Tribolium castaneum: one gene and its partner. The protein of the gene in region 2 binds, or shares a complex with, the protein of the main gene of each other region. Links are inferred from orthologs where the notes say so. Each region holds a gene or a part of one and is shown on either strand. Other genes may lie near its edges.

Evidence for each region.
Region 1: protein AAR2 homolog (region 2) and holn1 share a complex: the UniProt entries of both Homo sapiens proteins name them as parts of the U5 snRNP complex. The link is inferred for Tribolium castaneum from reciprocal best matches to the Homo sapiens genes AAR2 and CD2BP2.

The regions. Positions count from the first base shown.
Region 1 is NC_087402.1:7,509,625-7,520,392, forward strand, and holds holn1 (CD2 antigen cytoplasmic tail-binding protein 2 homolog), read right to left. Parts: upstream 4,549-10,768; 5' UTR 4,511-4,548; coding exon 3,566-4,510; 3' UTR 3,519-3,565; downstream 1-3,518. Other genes in the region: dbe (KRR1 small subunit processome component homolog), read right to left, coding at 1-210, 264-1,040; Etf-QO (electron transfer flavoprotein-ubiquinone oxidoreductase, mitochondrial), read left to right, coding at 1,367-1,400, 1,684-1,785, 1,830-3,499. UniProt on the Homo sapiens protein: Involved in pre-mRNA splicing as component of the U5 snRNP complex that is involved in spliceosome assembly.
Region 2 is NC_087397.1:5,816,750-5,827,723, reverse strand, and holds protein AAR2 homolog, read right to left. Parts: upstream 6,626-10,974; 5' UTR 6,554-6,625; coding exon 6,148-6,553; intron 6,101-6,147; coding exon 5,776-6,100; intron 5,722-5,775; coding exon 5,319-5,721; 3' UTR 5,284-5,318; downstream 1-5,283. Other genes in the region: sbm (b(0,+)-type amino acid transporter 1), read right to left, coding at 7,586-7,650, 7,701-7,869, 7,922-8,071, 8,120-8,444, 10,197-10,341, 10,421-10,546, 10,600-10,842. UniProt on the Homo sapiens protein: Component of the U5 snRNP complex that is required for spliceosome assembly and for pre-mRNA splicing.

The DNA of each region.
Region 1 (10,768 bases), on a different chromosome or scaffold from region 2:
TTCTTTAAGTGACGCTATATCAACTTTCGTGTTAACATTCGGTGATTGCTTCGAGGTTGAGGGCTCCTCAGGTGGGACAAACGCTTCGTTTCTTTTCTCCTCACGTTTCTTCGCAGCCGCAGCGTGTTTTTCATTCTTCTCTTTCTGTTTCTTTTGCCGTTTTTGCTCCTTGTTGAGGAAGTATTCGCCAGAAGCTAGCTCCTTATCGATCTAAAATTTAACAAAGTGTTATTTGTTTCCTACAAAATTTTTGAATTTTTTACCTTGCTTTCAGTTTGTGGGGGCGGGAAGGGCGTGTACGGTTTCTTCTCCTTCTTCTTTTTCGGTTGTTTCCGCTTACTGATATTTTTATTAACAAATCTGGGTAAAAATCGGTCCCAGTTCTCGTTCTTGAGCTTGGGATCCTTCGCTAATTCTTTCTTGATCATCAGAGCTTTGATGTTATAAATAGGATGCATGTTTTTCATGGTATCTTCCACAATCTTCCTGACTTGCTGTAACCCCTTATAAGGCCCCAAAGCCGACACTGTCTGTCCTTGCACCAACACATAACAATTAGTCAGCAATTCAATTGATTTCAACGTACAACCGTTCGGCCCAATTAGCCTCTGTCTTCTCTTAACAAACTTCTCTTTATTCCTTGTAATTTTCCCTATTTTAATGATATCACAACCGACGTCGTCATTCAACACCCGCTTGGCTTGCTCAAAAGGAACACTCCGGGACATTAATTTGATCATGTCTCGAGCTTTGATTATGATATAAGGGTCCCAAGTTTTACGCGTCGTTCTCACAGTCATGCTTCCCTCAACCACGTCCAATTCTGCATTGATGTGGTGCTCTTTTAAAGTCTTTTGCACGAGGGGCCACACTTGGCGCAAATACTGCTCCCGGTATTGGGGAAAAAGCGTCGCGAATGAACTCTCCTCCAGGAGACCATGGGGGTTATCCTCGGGCTTAAACTCCGGGATTTTCATCGCCCAAGCGTTCTCGACGGGACCTGAGGGCGCCTGGGACTCATCGTCGCTAGAATCCGGCATTTTCACTCACAAAAACACCAAAATATGACGAAATGGAAAAAACACGTGCATTAATCTTTTGACAGGTGGCCGATAATACAGGATTCTGTGACTGGAAATAACCCAAAACTCCATGAAGTAACGCTATAAATGATATAATAAAAGGATCTAATCTCTCACATTGTTGTATAATAATAAAAAATGTAATAAATCATGAGATAATTATATAAGCCGATAAAATAATGACGGGCCCTCTGGCGGAATCAGTATCAGACACACTTAAAAACAGCTGTTTGTCAATCACAAATGTTACGTCAAAGGTGTAGTAGGGCAACTAGCTGGTCGACATGGCATTAAATTTGTTTACAAGTATAAAATACGGTAAGTTCTTTATTATAAAGTTACTTGGCAACCAACTGATACATTAATAAACTAAAACCACGACAATGGTCACTACACTTATTTCATAATTTTTTTTTTTGAAAAAACTAATTATTGTTACAATAATCTTGGGATAATTATGTTAGAATTTGCTGGAAGTTACGTTAATTTAATGGTTGTAAGTCATTCTGGTGGTTTTTCACGGATAAATTATGAAATATTGTCCAGAGTGACCTTTGTACCGTGTTTATGTTGCAAAGTGCATATTGTTTTTTTTTTCCAGCTAAATCTTTGAAACCTTTGGCACGATGTTATTCGGACCAGTTTCCCAAAATCACGACCCACTATACCGTTGTGCCGCGAGAAAACGACCCACGATGGAAAGGTAATTATTTCAAAGTACTCACTAATTGACCAGCTTTCATTCAGAGGTGAATATGGAACGGTTCGGGGACGAGACGGATATTTTAATAATCGGGGGAGGTCCTGCGGGGATGTCTGCCGCGATAAGAGCCAAACAATTGGCTGAAAAAGACGGGAAAGAGCTCAGGGTTTGTGTTGTGGAGAAAGCATCTCAAGTAGGAGGTCACATTTTATCAGGAGCTGTTATACAACCAACAGCACTCGATGAATTAATCCCTGATTGGGCGGATAAGGGGGCACCGTTAAAAACCCCAGTAAAGGAAGACAAATTCGGGATTTTAACAGCCACGGGTCGAATCCCTGTTCCGGTACTGCCAGGTACCCCCATGTACAACCACGGGAACTACATCGTGCGGCTGGGGCACGTGGTGCAATGGCTTGGGGAGCAAGCCGAGGCCATGGGTGTTGAAATCTACCCAGGGTACGCAGCTTCGGAAATCCTCTACCATCCCGATGGTAGCGTTAAAGGGGTGGCGACCAACGATGTGGGTATCGCCAAAGATGGGAGCCCTAAAGACAATTTCGAACGAGGCATGGAATTACATGCCAAATGTACCATTTTTGCGGAGGGCTGCCATGGACATTTATCCAAACAAATCATAAACAAATTCAACTTGAGGGCAAACTCCGAGCCACAAACCTACGGTATTGGTTTGAAGGAGATTTGGGAGATTGATCCTTCGAAACACAGTCCTGGCCGCGTTGAGCACTCGATTGGTTGGCCTTTGGATAAATTCACCTACGGTGGAAGCTTCCTCTACCACCTCAATGAAGATACTCCTTTGGTGGCGGTTGGATTTGTTGTCGCCTTGGACTATTCCAACCCTTATTTGAGCCCTTTTAGAGAGTTCCAAAGGTTCAAGCACCACCCTAGCGTCAAACACTACTTCGAGGGAGGTACACGTATTGCCTATGGGGCGCGTGCTTTGAACGAAGGTGGCTTCCAGAGTATTCCCAAACTGACGTTCCCTGGAGGATGTCTCGTTGGGTGTTCGGCCGGCTTCCTCAATGTACCAAAAATCAAAGGCACGCATTATGCCATGAAAAGTGGGATGTTGGCTGCGGAAAGCGCCTACGAAGCCATTAATAGCGAAAAACAAGAAACTGAAGGTTTTGAACCGAAGAGCTATCCAGACAAAGTTAAGAACAGTTTCATTTGGAAAGACTTGAAACGGGTGAGGAACGTACGACCCAGCTTCCATAATCCTTTGGGGATGTATGGAGGAGTGATGTACAGTGGATTTTCCATAATGATTGGGGGGATGGAACCGTGGACTTTCAAACATGGCGATCCCGATTACAAGAGACTCAAACCGGCCAAAGACTGTACACCTATCGATTATCCGAAGCCTGACGGTAAAATCAGCTTCGATCTCCTCTCTTCCGTTGCGCTGACTGGGACCAATCATGAAGGTGACCAACCCCCGCATCTAACCCTGAAGGACGATACCGTTCCTGTTAAGCAAAATTTGGGCATTTATGACGGGCCTGAAGGCCGGTTTTGTCCAGCAGGAGTGTACGAATTCGTCCCGCTTGAAAGTGGGGACGGTCAAAGGCTGCAAATCAACGCCCAGAACTGTATACATTGCAAAACTTGCGATATTAAAGACCCGAGTCAGAACATCAACTGGGTGGTTCCCGAAGGAGGTGGCGGCCCGGCTTACAACGGAATGTAATTAAGTGCCTTTAAGCAAATTGCTTGACTTTTTATGTATATTGATAATAAAATTTTTATAACACTGTTAGTCATACAGCTCGAAGTCTATCCGGTTCGAGGTGTAAAAGTTGGATTGTTCGCCACACTTACGCACCCACACTCCCGTCTTGAAGTACCCTTCTTTGGACCACTTTAACATTTGTGAGGTGTCGTACGGACCCTCGACTTGGTCCTTGTCTTGGTCCCACTTAAATTCCCACATTAACTGCTCTGGTTTACCTGACACTGACGCCGTCTCCATCTTCTCCTTCTCCTTGTCGCCGAAGTCGTCAGCATACATGTCCAGAACAGGCTCACTGTTTTTCGGTTTCGTTCGGTCGTCAATTTTTTTGGTAATTTCTTCAAAAGTCTCCTGGTATACGTTCATGTTCCCCGTCTTCGTTAATATACTATTCGCGATCTCGGTCATGTCCGCCACATCCTGATTCGAATTCAAAGTCCCTGCCTTCTTGCGCTTCAGTCTCTCGACACTGGACAACTTCAAATCGCCCCCTAACCGCCTCAAACACTTGTTGACCGTTTCTTTGGGTTTCATGTAGTTGAGCATCTTTTTGTACAAACCGACCTCATCGAAATCCTCAGCTTCCGACTCAGAATCACTCTCGGCCCCCAAGCCTTTCTCGTTGGGGTCCAACTGGTACTTATCGTCACTGTTGACTTTATGCCAGTCGATGTTGTCCAACCAATTATCCCGTATTTCCTTCTCGTTGTTCCAAATAAAGTGGCCCTCTTTGTCGAAATGCCCTTCTTCCATCTCCTCTTTCATGTTGAAGGCGGTCATCCGGACCCCTTCAACCTGACGCGAAATTCCCTCCTCTTCGCCCTCGATGTCGTCGGCGTTGAGCTCTTCAGCGGTCTCATCGTAATCGTCCTCTTCGTCCGAATCCAAGGAATGTTTTTTTGCGTTAAACTTCACCTGGCGCCGCTTATTTTGCGAAAAATCGCCTTCGTTGAATTTTCGTTTTGACATTTTTGACAAATGCAAAACAAACAACACGCATGCTCTCAAAACCGATCTGCACTTTTGGTTTGTATCCACGGTTAAATTTTTTAATATTTGTTTTTTTTGGAAATAATCATAATCAGCTTTTTTTACCGCAAATTTTTCACCACGCTTATTACTAAAACATAAACAACTCAAAAATATATTGTAAAAAACCCAAAAAGTTAAGAAAAACTGTAAAATTGAAATGGTATGTTTGGCAACTATCCAAGAGATGGCACAAGCTACTTTAAAATTTGTTTATACTGTGTGTTTCAAAAAAGATGTCCTCCAAATACGTGCAAATACGAATTTCTCTTATGCTCTCATTACTTATTAGCAGTCGCATATTTACATAAGGAGAAAATGGGCTATAGCCCAGAACGACAGAATTTTAGAATTTTTTTGTTACAAGCTTTATTTTTTAAATAAATTGCAAACTAAAGGTTCTGATTTTTTATGGTTGAAATAATGAGTTTTAAGATGTTTTTAATAGTTTCAAATTATATTATATTAAATTCACAATAAGTAAACAGAGAACAAGCCTGAGTACCTAATGCAAATATCTACAGAAAAAGTTTTTAAGTCAGCGACAACGTACACGTACAACTAATATTGTAGAAAAAAGTGCAAAATAGCTACGCTTTTTTTTTTAAAACTTCATAAATAAATACAGGCTGATTTTTTAACATATCTCAGAATATAAATGAGAACATTTAATACCTAGTACATGTTTGGTGACATTACTAAGAATTGTTTCAGGTTTTCCCATGTGATTTTCAGAATTATCTTGCATTTTTAGAGAATTTGTGCTAGAACTGAATTTGCTATTTGATTGACTGATTAAAAAAAGTTCAGATATTAAAAAAAATTAATTAATTTTGTATTTTAAGTTTATTAAGTTACACCTAATGCAAGATTGTAGAGCCATAAATACTACAAGCGCGTCAATTAATAATACAGTGAAACTTAGTTACAACGAACACCTAAGTGACTTCCGAATTTGTTTGTTGTAACCGATCGTTCGTTTTAACATATGGAGTAATTTTCAAGATAAATGAGTTCTAAAGTTTAAGATAGATATACGTTATGAAATAAAGTATGATTATATTTTATTAAAAGCTATATAATTACATGAGTTCATAGTTATACATATGTATACCTATAACAAATATTTTATTTATTTAATGATTTGTGTTTGTACTTAACACCTTAGCTGTTTTTAAGGTATGTTTCACTTTTGAAATCATTCTGCAATATCGAAAATGTTTAGACCAGTTTTTTGTCTAAATATTGGACGTTAAAAGCCAGCATTCGTTGTAAGCGAGGTTCAATTATTCGTTAAAACCGAACTGATTTTTTACTATAATATAAAACGGGACTTTCAATTTTGTTTGTTACATTCGAGCGTTCGTAATATTGGCGTTCAAATGTATTTTTATCTGTTGCCGCCCCCGGACACAGCGAAAAGGTTACAAAATGCTTCTTATAGAGGCATTAAATTAGCGTTATCACTTATCATCAAGCGTTGTAAAAGAAGTAATCAGTGAGGGATCCATTAAGCGCGTCTGGTGCTTGAAGACGAATGAGATTACAAAACATTGATTGGTTGTCTCGCCGGCGCATATTGTAGTAATATGGACGCAGACTGCGCGTACCGCCATAAATCGAGGTGATAAACTCTGCAAAGGGCCGTTAAACCCGGTAAAAACTGCGCTGGGGTGGAGGAGCGTCCCGACGGCGGCGATAGTTGCCTCAAGTTCAAGGTTCCGATCAATGAATGGGTTGGATCCGGAGGCCCTGGCAAAGACCAGACAGGTCACTGACTGCTGCAAGGAAATTCATCCAGACACAAATTATTCCAGGAATAAAAATATCATTCGAATGGAATAAGTTTTGAGCAAACTGTTCTCTCGGGTGATTCTAATAAAAGTTATACTCGTTTCGGTTCTGCATATTAAAACGAAATTACAAACAGTGAAGTGTGCTACAGTATCTGCTTCCAATTTCGGGTTACAAGTTTTGTGTGTCTAACGAAACGAGGGTTTTTTATGATGAGTCAAATCTACAGAGTTACAAAACGGTACTTGGTTTTCTATTTTTAGAATACTATAAAGTTTTTACTGCCGGTTTAGACCTTAATGATGATACCTTGGGTAACGTCTTTCACCTTTTTAACGTAAAATTAAAGCCAAAAGTCAGGAGAACAAGCGCAAAAGCGTGAAAAAGCCACAACTCATCCCGTATCAGTTGAAACGAGGATTTTTTTCAAAGACTACGAAAAAAGTTTTAATGTTGCTGACAGTTGGAAAGGTTGAGTTAATTATGCTTTGATATTTCGCCAAAAAAGAGTTCAAGTTAAAACTTTCTTCGCCCACATGACAAATACAATTACGTGTTTATTGTCTTAATTAACATTTTTCCATAAAAAAGCGCTTATCGCAATAATGGACGACGTCTTCCACTTCCCTGTTGTTCTGTTTGTCCGTGCTTTATCAAGTTATACCTCTCTTTATTTACTTAAGGCGTTTTCCCCGTATATTAATAGAGCTGCCACACCGTCAAGTATTTTATCGAAAGCGGGGTAGTAAATTGGTTGAACGCGTTCTGCGGTCAGTCGTTATTATTTTTACGGTATTCGGGCAATTATTAATGGTGGCTGTTGGCAATATTTCGAGGGTGACGTGTGAAACTTCACTTCCTCTCGGACCATAAACTCACATCATTTCTATTTTCCCCTAAAAGTATTGGAAAGGCTGATTTAATAAGTTTTTATTGCGTGTAATTCGGGTTGTTGCAAATTTAATAATGGGAAAATTACGGATCGTTCTATTAAAACTTTAATACAACTGTAATAACTTTTCATATATCATTATCATTAGACGGTAAATGCCGCGGTTTGAGACAATTTTGCTACAGAGTAAGTTCATTGTGTATTTTGATGAGCTTTCCGTGCGGATAAATCACACTGAGATAACTGAATTATATTTCGTCTTTCTCGTGGCTTCATGCACCTCACCCTCGCAGTTTGAACACAATAAATTTTTATTACCTAGTATCATTTTCGTGTACGCGTCCGGTATGAATATTAACACCCTGCAGTAAAATATTCATCGTGTTTGGTTTAATCAAAGAGTGATGTTGGCATTAGGGCCTATCATCAATATTGGAAGCTGCGCACCCATTATCATTATACAGCCCTACAGTATTGCACTAAATGTATCATTAATATATAGCGCAACAGCTCCATCGGCTATAAATTTGCTCGGAGCTTTTAGTCCTTTAAAATATCGTGAAGGAGGGACGATTTTTTGTTAGAATTCAATGGAGCATCCTGTGGACACGTTTCGGCGTCGGTTTTATCGCCATCAGGGTCAACGTCTGAACAGAACCGGAAACATCCATCATCGCAACAAAGTGGTGGACGTGTTCCCATTGATCGACCATAAATTTATCACTGTCCGATTTAAATTATAACATGGCCGCAATCACACACGACGACGATAAATTTTAATCGCTCGTGTAAATTTCGCTTGACAATATTGGTCTCTTGGTAATTTATGTTTTGTGAATAGTGATTTAGCTTGCTCCCGGAGTGCATTTTTACCCGGAAAAAGGACCATCAGTATGCCAACCACCCGATAGATGGCGCACCGATTGCGAAATTTATGTCCCTATCCGGCTTTGTTCCCTCGAAGAAGGATACATCGATAGGCTCAGGCCTCTCAAGCCTTCAATAACGCGGAGTTTAAGATAAACACAAAGAAACTTATTTCTGGCTCTTAAACATTGTCCATTGTCCTAATTAATTGCAGTTTCTTAAAAAGTAATAGCACTAAAGAGATTCATACAGGACTTATAACAAATAGTTCTAAAACTATAAAAATGCAATAAAAGTATAGATTTTTAAATCAGTGTTTTATTAAAATAGTTATTTATTCGACGAGTTTGAGTGTAAATCGGACGTTTTATTTCACGAGTGGTTTTTTAAACCTCGAGTGATAACGAGAGGTTTACCATCCACGAGGTGAAATAAATGAACCGATTTACACGAAAATAAGTTGAATACAACATTTTATTCTTCGAATTAGACTCAACAAAGCTTAAAATTGCTTAAAATCTGTTAAAAATAATCTGACGTTTCGTATTGAGAAATGCCAAACAGTTGTCAAAACTGTCTTACACAGGAGAAAAATCCGAAATTTTGACAGTGTCGAAGAATAAAAACCTTTTCTCAACTTTCTGCCTGATTCAATCCTAGGTAATAAGGAGAGACCGGACTTTTAGAAAGTTAAAATCCTTATGAAAAGACAAAAAAGGTTGTACAAAAACTGAAATTAGGTATTAAAATTTGGTAATTTAAGATAAATTTTTTATTAATTCTTATTACAGAAAAAAACATAATTTTTTTTTCAATAAATTTGATTACATAAATAAACAAGCAACACGAACTAAGTACGTTTTGTCATAAACTTGAATTCATCTATTACACCATAAAATGCTATAAAAAAGTTAATAAACTGTTGTTGAATTTAAATTAATATTGTGCTAAATTTGCTGTTAAAAAATTAGTTGTTTTTCTGAAAGAATTCATCGTAACGTAGAAATTGAACTCATTGTAAGAAAACTTAGTATCTACTAGAACTAAAATCAGGCACCTCTGCATTAACAATAGTTTAAAAAGTTAAATAAAACACTTCATTTATTCATTTTTGCTTTTCAAAAAAAATAAATTGTCAAACGCTCAAGTTAATAACTGAAAAGATATAAAGATTTTTGACCTAATTTAGTACATTTTTGAGTTTTATGAGGAAATCTTGCGAAACAATTGAGTTTTTGCTGAAAAACTTGCAAAATGTTTGAACACAAACTAATTGCGAGAATCACTCTTCATTAAAAACAAATCGATCCACAATTTATCCACGAATTTTGAACCCAAGTATAATAAAAAAACCTGAAATTTTTTTAAAAAACAACGAAATTCCAGTTGGTTTGGCCGAAACTTACAAAGTTTTTTGCCTTTTGAACAGTTGCAATCCCTCCGATATCCAGTAATAAAAGCTTCAATCTTCAATCGTCTTGCAATTTTTTGTGCACCAAATAAACAAGTAGGAAATGATTTCTATATTTTTATTGAACAAATTATTCACTCCAGAAAGAAATAAAGGACGTGGCGAAACACACTTTTTTATTAAATCTATTACCCAAAAACTAAGGATCCTAGAAAAGTAGAACTTTTACACAACTAATTAACATCTACACTGTCGGTTTGTAAAAACTAATAATTAGAGTTATAGTAATTAAAATAAATAAATTTTTAAAATTAAAATTTACAATTTTGCAATTTTGACACATACATGAAAATTGTTTAAATTTAAAAAATAATTTAATATAAAATTAGGTAGAGTATTTATATTTTCAAAAAATTAAATACAAAAACTACTGACAAAGAAACTTTAACGCTGAGAAACTAAAAACACAAAAAATTAGAAAGGAAAATTAAGCGACTGAAAAACTGAGAAACTGAAAAAACTATTGAACTGGAAAAGAGAAATACGTTTGATTCTGAATAAAAAACCAATACACTAAGAAACTGAAAAAAATAATAATTAAAAAACTATGAAACTGCAAAGTAAAAACACTAATAAGATAACATAGTAAAACCAAGAAAAACTGATAAAATTAATAATATGAAATACTATAGAGAAATTAAGAAACTAAAAAGCTAAAACACTGGAAGCCTGAGAAGTGAGAATCAAAGAATTATTAAATAAAATAACTATTAAATTAAAAAATATGGTGTATATATTGTTTTAAAACAAAATAAAAGTATCGTATTTTAAATTAGAAAGATTAATCACAACTGTAGGATATTTAAAACTCATGTAGGATACAAAAAATAAGAAGAAAGTCAAATATTTCCATTTTTAACAAAAAAAATATTTTCAGTTTTAAGAAAACTTAAAAATTGCGTGTTATGAAAGTTTTTTAAAATCAGTCTCTTAACAAGTAAAATTAATTGCTGAACTTATTATTTATTTATGTTTATTTCGAAACGAAACGAAAAAGCTTTTTTACAAGAGTGCAAGTAAGCCGATAATTATTCCCGCTTTATTAGTGTTTAATGCGAAAAGTTTCTTATTTTTGCCTGCGTTCATTGTGTTGGTTTGAAAAGAAGTGCCGCAGGAGTCAAGTTTTCGATAAACCGGCAAGCTTTTAATTAATAAAATATTTAGTCGAAGTTGC
Region 2 (10,974 bases):
ATTTTTTACGAGTTTAAAAATTTGGCTTTTTGTTTTCAAATTATTAAAATTTAATTTAAACTTTATAACTTATAATGTAAAGAAACGAATGAACTTCGATTAATGTTCTATCAACTTTTTTGTGTAGTAACAAAATTATTGGAGTACGACAAAAGTTTAATTTCATGCTTTTATATTTATTATTGAAATAGTTATGAAATGTTTCTCTTCCGCAAACTTCCTTTTAACAACATTTAAATATTTTAAATAAAAAACACTATCTGTATTATTTATTTATTTATTTATTTTATTTATTTTATTTATTTTATTTATTTTATTTATTTTATTTATTTTATTTATTTTATTTATTTTATTTATTTTATTTATTTTATTTATTTTATTTGTTTTATTTGTTTTATTTATTTTATTTATTTTATTTATTTATTTATTTTTATTTATGGATCAAGAAGTTAGTTTACCTTTGATGTTTAGTCAATAATATTAAAATATACGCTAATTTTTATAATTCTAATTCAGCAGTTCTCAAAATTTGGGACTTTAAGTTCAAAACGATTTTTTGGGAAAACTGTATATTTTTCATTTACATTTATTTTGCTTAATCGGTTTGTCTTGCCATTCTCTATCTACCTTTAAATTTTTACTAAACCATTCCCTAACACGCTGTATATTAGTAGCATTTAGTAACCTTTTAAATTTGAGCTAGAAAATACATTTAGTTCATTTTTTCTATGGGAAAATTTCATATTATGTGTAATGTTATTCATTGTTCAATTCAATTCGTTTTGTAATCTGGACGTATAGATAACTTCTCTTCATTGTTGAAATTCTAAGTGTAAAAAACTGGAACACGCAGTATTGACAAATAAAATAATTACGAAAGATACAATCCCCGATTTGAGATTTACAAAAAAGTTCCTACCAACTTTACCCAATTTATTTGTATTTTTAACATCTTTGACGTATTTATTATTCAGACATTGTAATTCTGATTTTTTTTAAGAAAAAAAACTGTTAGTTTTTTTAGACATTTTAGGGCTGTAAATTTTTTTGAATAGTGTCATAAATTTTGAGAATTATGCTTTTAATATGCAATTATTTTAATTGAAACAATTCAACTAGATTCCCTAGTTGTATTTTAATTTTTATTTGAGTTTGAAATATCGCATTGTAAGGTCCTGCTGAAAAAACGTTTTATTTGCTGAAAAAAGGATGGGCTCTAATCATCTTAAGTGTTAATGAAAGAAACTGCTTATTTTTGATTATGCTCTTTAATTTTGTGTTTAATCCGTTCGGACTTGATCTAGATTCGCGTTAATTCTCTTATTGTATTTTTCGGCCGTTCTAAATCCTTGAATTCGCAAACCCCCAATTTTTGCATGACCCAATTCGTTCAGTTCTTTGCCGAAGACGCCAAGGATTCGCGGAAACGCCACATGTTGACAAGGGTATTACTCTCAATAAAACCCAACCTTGACACTTTCTTCAATTAACAATTATTACCTTTAATGAACCTCGATGTTATTTTCTTCCGGCCGAAGTCCTTAAACCGGAAACCCCAACAAAAGTTTGATACGTGTCACACTTTTAAAAAAAATACCGACTGACAAGGTTAATTCTCGTGATAAAATTCATTTTTTCGGTTTTGTGTTTTTTGAACCTGAATTAGTCAGAGGGAATGGGTTTGTGTGGTCTTCTTGACCCAATTTGTTTAAATGACCTTAAAATTTACACATTAATCAAGTTTCAAGCAGCAAAGCCAAGGACGGTGGGAGTTTAAGGATTTGCACGCTTTTTGTCAACGCAGACATTGGCAATTTCATTGATAAGACGGAAAATATTGTTACTATTTTGTTATCGGAACCGAAATACGAAACAATCAATTTTCAAACAAACGATGATTGATTAATTGTTTTCTCCAAATATTTGCTACAATTCTGGACGGGTCACTGGATCATCTGATACAACCCGTTGCGTTTTTTATCATTGTAATGAATATTTAACAACATGCACAATAATACGAGTTTCAAGTTACAATGAATTCGTTTATTTTTACTAGTAAAAACAGGAATTGACTTAAATTGTTACGCATATAGTGTTGTTTTCTTGGTAGAGGAAATATTAATCTAATTTTATTCCAGACTTCAAGAGCAACAATTAATGAACCGCTAAAATTGATGTATTTTTATTCTCAAGAGGATAATTGCAAAAATATTCAGGCCATTCCGACGATCGTTCTGTTTTTTAATACAGGTCTGAGCTTGAAATAGTGATAATTTAAAAAATAAATATCTGTGGAGAACAAAATAAATTCTAAAAATTAATCATTATGTCAATACATCGTTAACCGTGGGAATAAAGAGTGGAAACATTTTATTAATTGCTTTCATCGAAGAAAATTCGGCGGCAAGAACCTTCACAATTGATTAAAGATGTGGTCGCACTAATATGCAAATTCCAGGAAAATAGTGCGGAAAATTTAATTTTTTCCCATTTTTTATTGATAATATTTTATTTCAAGGCGATTCGGCTGCTTACACTAATTATTTGTAATTTCACCAATCAGCTTGAATTTTTTTATTAGCAGGAAATTTACACCGAAGGCTATTTACCAACAAACAATGCGAATATTTATAGATCACATATTAATGAAAAAGTACCCACCTACTCTCACATACCTGGAATTTGCGCAATTTCTCAAACAATTTTACACGTTTTTATTTTTAATTGAATCAATTCGCGTGTCCGCACAATTAGTAACATCCTGGAGGGTTTTCGCGAATTGTTTATTTCAATCTTTAATTAGCATTGTTACGTTGTTTTCTCGAAAATGTCATTTTGTTAAGAAACGTGCCGTTGTTGCAATCGGAAAAAGGCATTGCATCAAACTGTTGTGCCAGCGTCTTGCAGAATCGCGTAAAACCACAAATCCTACCTTGTATTTCCTTAATTTCCACTCGACACAGTATCACTTCACACTTTCATGTTGTATCTCTTCGCGCGTTGACATCAACTGATTATGATTTTAAATGATGCCGGCTTTTAATCGGAAGTTGTTGAGTGGCGGAGCGGTCGAATAGTTTGTGTTCAAAGCGTCCTCGAGCAGAGAAAGTGCGAGCTTAAGACGAGCTTGCCGACTGAGGGGGGCACCTGGAGCACCTCGGCGAGGGTGCTCAGGGCATTAGACTGCTAATGCAGATTGGCGTTTCCGTCCGATATAAATCACCATCATTGGGGCTGATTAGCGATTTTATTTAATTTCGCGACGTGGCGAGCTTTCGCAAAATAACAGCAGTGCCATTTCTGGGATTAGAAAGTGCACGGTTCGTTATGTTATGCAAGTGAGGAAAATTAAGTAATAAAAGTACCGCGGAGTTGAGCAACTGCATTATAATTGTGGTATTTTAGAAAAATTGCAGGTGAATATGAACCTTGGTTGCACTTTCCATCAGGGCTAAATTTATTAAGACGGTTATTACGTGACCTATGGCTAAACACAAAAGCGTAAAAATACCCATTTTTATACCACTTAAGCAATTTTATTTTATAAAGGAAGTCGCTGCGATCAGATTGCACGGCAAATGGCAATAACAGTCATCAAATATGTCCTCAAATAATACTTATTAACTAGAAATTACACTTTTTCGATCGTTTGCTCAACTCTAAAGTCTAGGTACTAATTGTTTACTACCAACAATAAAATTCTACTACGACAATTAATTATCTTTGTACGGAGGACGCATTTCCTTTGATATATAGCACTATTAATTAAACCCATTCGATTTTATGATTTCTTTATCTTATTTTCCGGATTTTAGGCCTTCCTGCTGACATTACTCGTAAATAGAGCACCAGCCGTGCTTATTACTATCTCAAATAACACATTTGCCATAAATCTAGGTGAAAGTTTCGTGAATAAATTTACAAGAAAATTGGAATAATTATAAGTTGGATAGGTCTTGGTCAAGGCCGTAATTATTCAACAATTAGCGACTCGTTTAGAATATTTATCTACAACTGGGTCTAGGAACAAAAATAAGTGTTTTAACAATTTTCAAGAAAAGTTAACGAGTGTCTACCAAATTTTATTAGCACTAAATTAGCACCACATTTGCTGTAATTCTTTGGGTTATGTCATTGACCTTCGTCAACAATTTGTTCAGTTAGAATAAAATTTGAGACGATTTTTTTTACACAAATAAATAAGTTCCTATCGCAACTGGGGGTTTCTTCGCATATAAGTCACTAATATCTTCTATCTCCTATTAGTCCTATTGGAAGCTTAATGCACCATATTGCTAAAATCACCTCGAAAATCAACCACTATATTGAAAAAAGCTAAGTAAATTTTAATATCTTAAAAAAATTAATCTATTAAATAAGAGTATCATTGTTGGAATGTCTGTACTATCTAGAGAAGGAAATAGAGGTTTTATTTGATAAAATTTAAATTTTTATTAGTGAAACTTTCAAAAATTTATTTTTATGAATTACTCAATATTTTTGTTGTTTTTTACTTAGTATGCTATCGACTGCGGTATTTATAGTTATCGAGGGATTTTTCTCTCTAAGAAATAATAAGAATAAACGGGCGAATCCCCAAAACAAATTTTATGGTAGAATTAATCAGAAGCGAGTGCAAATTGAGATAATACGAACCTTCTAGGAGAAGTTTCCAGATCTAAAATATTTATTTCTTGAACCGCAATAAGTATACTTTTTTCGTTCTTTACCATAAACACTGTTTTTTTTATATTATGGTGCTTATCGTTTGTTTAAATGCACTTTTTTTTATTCGTGTTGATTTGTTTTAGCAAAGTTGATAATATTATAAATATTTATTAGGTAGGTAGGTGCTCGTATTTGATTTTTTCGCTAAATGGTCAAAAACGATTTATTTCAAATACTATTAAACTTCCTTTAATGTCCACCTCTGAATAACGGACACCTCTCCACAACGGACAATTAAAAATTCCTCATCGATGTCCCTTGGTGAGAGGTTTTACTGTCTTGTCAGTTTTCTGTTTTATTAAGACGTCTTTAATTCGTGAGTTTTTATATCGATGGGTAATGTGAACTTGTCACAACTTTTGGATGTGACTTTAAAAAAACTTCGTTTAATAGGTTTTTTTGTTTTCAATATTTCTTCATTTTTTATTTAGTTAACTTGTTCTACTTTGTTTCACCTTGTATATATTTTTTTTGAACTATGATGTATGTACTATACAACTTTTCCACTATTCTTTGTTTCATAATTCTGGGAATTCTTGTTAATAAAATTCAACATGAAGTAAAATAGTTTTATTTTCAACACAACAAAATTAAGTTTCTACAATAACTGGGGCTTCGTCGTCTTCATCGGAATCCAGATGTTCAAAATCCCACAAAAACGTCGTAGTTAAAGAATTTTTAAATCGAACGACTTTACTTTTAAATTGTCCGTCAACGTTTGATTCATGAATCGACCTAAATAATTTTTTCAAATTAACATAAACAAAATTATCGTTTGAAACAATATCTGCTAAGAATTCTTCCGGTATTTCCTTTATATGTACTTCTAAAACTGTTATAAATAAATCGAATAATTTTCTATATTTTGTAATAGCGGCATCACAGGAACAAAACAAAGTCACTAGTTTTTTCCACTGGTCAAATGCCTCCAAACTGTGGCCTACAAGGAAACAAATGTAGCAGAATTCCAGCTCACCGATGATTTCCGTAGACCTTCAATAAAAATTTAAATTAACATAATGTTACGTTTAATCTAACATTACATACTCAGAATACTGTGACAAAAGTGTTTCAAAAACAAATGTTAAATCAAGGGAATGCTGCGTAATTTCAGAGGGCGAGCTTCCCTCAGGATAGTTCTTTTCAGGGAATTTCGTCAACCTTAACTCCGTCCCTTCGATCGGTTTTAAAGCAGGCAACAAATCAAGTTCTCCACAACCGGACAAATTTTTTATCCCGCTACAAGACGGCTCACTCGCCTCCCCCTTTTTTCTTTTAGCCCCCCTGGGCCGCTCGGCATCGCTGCACGACTGCAGCTCCAAAGCAGCCCTCACTTGCCCACACTGCGGCACCAATTTCCCCAACAAATTTTCTAAAAAAAAACGTCTAAAAACCCCCCAAAAAATTGAATCAGTCTACCGGTGATGCTCCCCACTAAGCTGGCCCACCGCTCCGCAATATCGAACGGATAAGGCCCCAGAAACCCATCAAGAGCCCTCAAATTCTCCTTCAAACTCACGATTTCCGACTCATTGACTTGCTCGTCACTGATTTGCTCATTTACCTTTGACCATTTTTTCACCAGGACTTCGCCCGGTTTAAAATTGTGGAAAAACCCAACTCTGGGGGCCACATCGTCGGTTGTCGCACTAACAGAGTTGTAAAATATGAAGTGCACGCCTGGGGGGATCATTTTAACCCCGCGGAACTTCTCCCCCGTGTTCCAGGATTTGAGGTCGATGCCGAACTCGGTGCCCTCGGGGACCCCCAGGAGGATGAAGAAGGCGCCCTCGGAGAGCAGGCGTCGAGCTGTGGCTTGGTCCATGTGTTTGTTTACGTTTTTGGCAAATTGTCAATTGTGAGGTTAGGATTGTGTCAAGTATTGACACAATTGTCATGTTATGCAACCAGTAATGCCGTCCAAAAAAGTGGGAATTTTGGTTTTGGGCAAAAATAAATAAAACTTCTTCTGTATTACAATATATTTCTTTATATTGCACAACAATATACGCTTTACATTTGGCAACAATTTTACTTTTCTAAATTTTATACAAAAGCTATTATCAAATGATAAAAATAACAATTTTTGCTTAATAAATCGATGTTTCCAAGATTCGTTCGAGAGTATTGTAGATATGTTAATGACTATTTGAAGAAAATATTTTCTTTTTCGCCACCCTATTCAGCAGGTACTTTGAGGGGAATAGAAATGTTTGAATTAATATCCCTGTCGCTAACTGTGGTAATACTCTCTTCGAGATTCGAATCTTTTAGTACTGCTTTTAAGAAATGAAATAAAAAACTGTAGAAAACCCAAAGTCGCAATTAACATTGTTTAGGTAAGGAATAACAGATTCATATTTTACCTGAAACATGTCAATCTATTGTGTTTTGAAATTTTATCATGGTTACAGGAACTTTACTAATATAAAAATAAGTTCATAAAAAAGTCAGACTTTTTGCAGTAAATGTATAGTTAATATAAAATGCACAACTATCAAATTCAAATAAAATTAGCGAAAACATCGACGATATTACACCGAGTAATTAAATTTCACATTTATCTACTGTATAATACGTTCACTCTAAGTTTTATTGCTCGACACTAATTTTATTTGAACGAACGAAACAGTTATGGATATCCACGTTGCACCCCATGAGATACCCCGATGGTTGGGAATGATCCGTGCAATTTACCTACATTTTACATTTATAATAATTTTCATCTAGTTCCATCTACACATTTTCAAGTCACAGTAAGCACAAAAATAACGTTGTATAGATGAAACCAAGAGTTTTACCTGTAACCATGACCCTCTACCAGCTACAAATATATAAATTTGAGCTTTCTGCCGTTCTACTCCAACATTGTCGATGTTGGTGCTACTTCAAATATCATCTGCAGGAAAACAGTCACGCCGTCTGAAAATAAATATTAAAAAAAAAAAACTAACAGTGTGGAGTGGACGCACCCATGAATGGGATCCGCATTTTGTAATGCACAAAGGGGACGTAAAAAACCATCCCACTGAAAATGAACAGCGCTGCATACAGGTACTCAATGGTAGGCTTGTCTACTATAGGAGCTACTATCAGGTAGAAAGAGATCACTAATACCACATACGGAATGATAATTGGCACCTGGAACAAATTGCAAAATCACAAAAAACTAAATCTTGGGTATAAAAAGTACCTTGTAGGGCCTAGGATAGTTGGGCTTAGTGTATCGCATCACAATCAGAGCCAACATCGCGCCCCCGTAGAAAATCCACGCAGTGAAGCTGAAGAAGTCAATCAGCGAGTCGATGGTGCCGTAGAGGACCATAGCGGCGGCAATCAGCGACTAAAACCCAATTCCTTACTCACTTATTTGTGAAAATTGCCAACTCACGTGGAAAATGAGACCCGGAGCTGGAGTATATCTGCGAATGTGGACGTAGGAGAGAATGTCCAAGAGATGGCCTTCGCGACTTGCCGCAAAGCACAGCCGACCAGCGGCGAAAAGAGTGCCGTTTGCGGAACCGAACGTCGAAATGGTGACGGAAAGCGGCATCAGCCAGGCCATTACGCCCAGAAGGCGGTTGCCGAACGTCACGGCCACCGCTTCGCTGGTGATCATCTCCATGGGGGACATCACCGTCAGGTAGGACACGTTGATGAGGGCGTAGCAGATGGTCACCAGCGGGATGCCGATTATGATGCTCATTGGCAAATTACTGAAAACCATTCATGTATTCATGTCCACACTTTGAGTACCGAAATTTTTCTACGGTTTTGTGAACTTTTTTGCCAAGTTTTTAGGTCTGCATTAGCTAATTCCGAGTGCTTTTAACAATTTTTGAATTAAACTATCGCTCAAGTTGATGTATACTTACAAGTATTTTGCCAAATCAAGCCAAAAAATGGATAAGTTTGGATTGTCTGCCTCATTTCAGCTATTTTCGAGCATTTTTAAAATAGACGTATTTGGGTGAAACAAGTTAACTCAGTTAGAAGTGTTACAAAAATTGGCTCTAATCGACGGTTTTTGCCAAAACAAACCAAAAAATTATAATGTTTGGTTTGAAATATTCTATTTCAGTCATTCATATTTTTTTTATTTATTATTATTATTATTATTATTATTATTATTATTATTATTATTATTATTATTATTATTATTATTATTATTATTATTATTATTATTATTTTTATTATTATACCTAAAAAGTAACTCAAAGATGTGTATTTCTTTGAAACGAACCAAGAAAATCGTTGTATTAGATCGGAATTATTCTATTCCATCAACTTCTTTGAAAATTTGACATCACCTTGGGAATTTAGTATTTTCCTGAAGTAAGTCAACAAAACTGTGTTATTTTAGGTCTGATTTCCACTATTTTAGTAATTTCTGGTCGAGTTTATTATTTTTTTGAACTAAATTAAATACAAAAAACGAACGAAATGAGCAAAAAATAGTCGTATTAGGTTTGTATAGTTGTATTCCGCCATTTGCAAGAGACTGTAAGATTTTTTTGGGGCCAGAAACTGTGAAGTTGACGCATTTTTTCGAAACAATATTAGTGTCAATCCTGAATAAACCTGTTTTGACCATTAACATTGTTTGGCCGAACCCAAAAAAATATCGAGTTAAGTATGAATTGCTCTATTTCAATCTTATTCAAGCGAATCGAAACAAAGCAAAAATGATCGTCTTAGGCTTGAATAATTTATGTTTTTCGCGGTCATATTATTTTAAATGAGGTGGAAATAGGGAGTTAATTGAAGAAGTCCAGACTCGTAAAAAATTTATTTAAAGTCGACGTTTCGAGTTTATCTTAACTCTTAATCATGACTCAAAACATTTTTCATAAATTAAAATTGGTAGACTTAGATGCAACTATTAATTTGTTATGAAATTTTTAAGTTACAATTTGATGAACCATGCAGGAATTTTTTTATCACGGACGATTAATCAGTCAATATATTAATTTAAATACTTTATAAATCAGAATATTGGAAGTATTAATCTAAATTTCAGCCATTTTAGGCAAGTTTTGTTCGTATTTATTTTTGTAAAAACATCAACCTTATTTTTCACTAACTTGTTTAATAACAGAAAATAAAGAAATTGTTTTATCCCGAAATCGTCACGAAAATAGAACATTCCTTGGTTACTTTCGTGCCTTGTCCAGAAAATATGTACTTTGCCTAACTCATTTGAAAAACATATAAATTCAAATAACAATTTATTTATTGAACAGTTTTATTTGCTATTAGTTTTCAATATTGACATTAATATTAGGGAAATTAATAGTTGGGAAATTCGTAACTTCTTCAGACGTTAAAAAATTAATGATAATTAGTTTCATTTTAAGCGGTTTCGGGAAAAATCGTATACATGGCACATCAAGAAAGTTCCATTTTCTTGACTTGATAAGTAATATATTATTCTTAGACTGGTAGGTAGCTATGAAAAATGTAATTACCGTGATGGGTTTTTGATTTCCTCGGTGACATAATTGAGATTATTCCAGCCGTCATAGGCCCAGAGCCCCGTATAGAAGGCCGTCGCAATGTTCCCCACGGAGGACCTCGTTCCTCTGAAAGGCTCCCGCAAATGCTGAGTATTACCTTCGAAAAAAACCGATTCTTAATCGTTTCATTCTGAAATGAAAATTTCTTTTTCGGCACTTTTTCCTATCTACTGTACCTTCAAACATCTTGTACGTGCCACCTGCTATAACAATAAGAACGGCGACCAGTTTCGCCGCCGTAAAGACATTCTGGACACTCGTTGCCAGATTGACGCTGTAGCAGTTGACGTAGAGGATAACAACTGGAATCAGAGATGGCGAATTTTGTCACTCTTTGAGCCAACGGGGGATTTACCGACTGTGAGGAGGGCCACCATCTTGACGACGATTTCGGGCGGTTCGCATTCGCTGACGAAAGCCTCGACTGCGTATTTTCCAAAGCTGAGGCAAATGATCGCCATTTGCGAGGGTTTGAGGACGAGGGTGCTGGCCCAGGAGAACAGGAACGCAGGGGGAGCACCGAAAGCGTCCATGAAGTAGGCATATTCCGCCCCGGATGACGTGTTCATAGTGCCCAGTTCGGCGTACGCCAGAGCGCCTGAAATAATCGCAAAGCTCATCTTTGAACCCAAGTACTCCAGACTAATTTTGTGCGTTTTTAATGATCGGCCGAATTTCGCGGAGGCGGGATATGTGGCCCGATTGACGTCAGCACTTCGTCATTTGTATA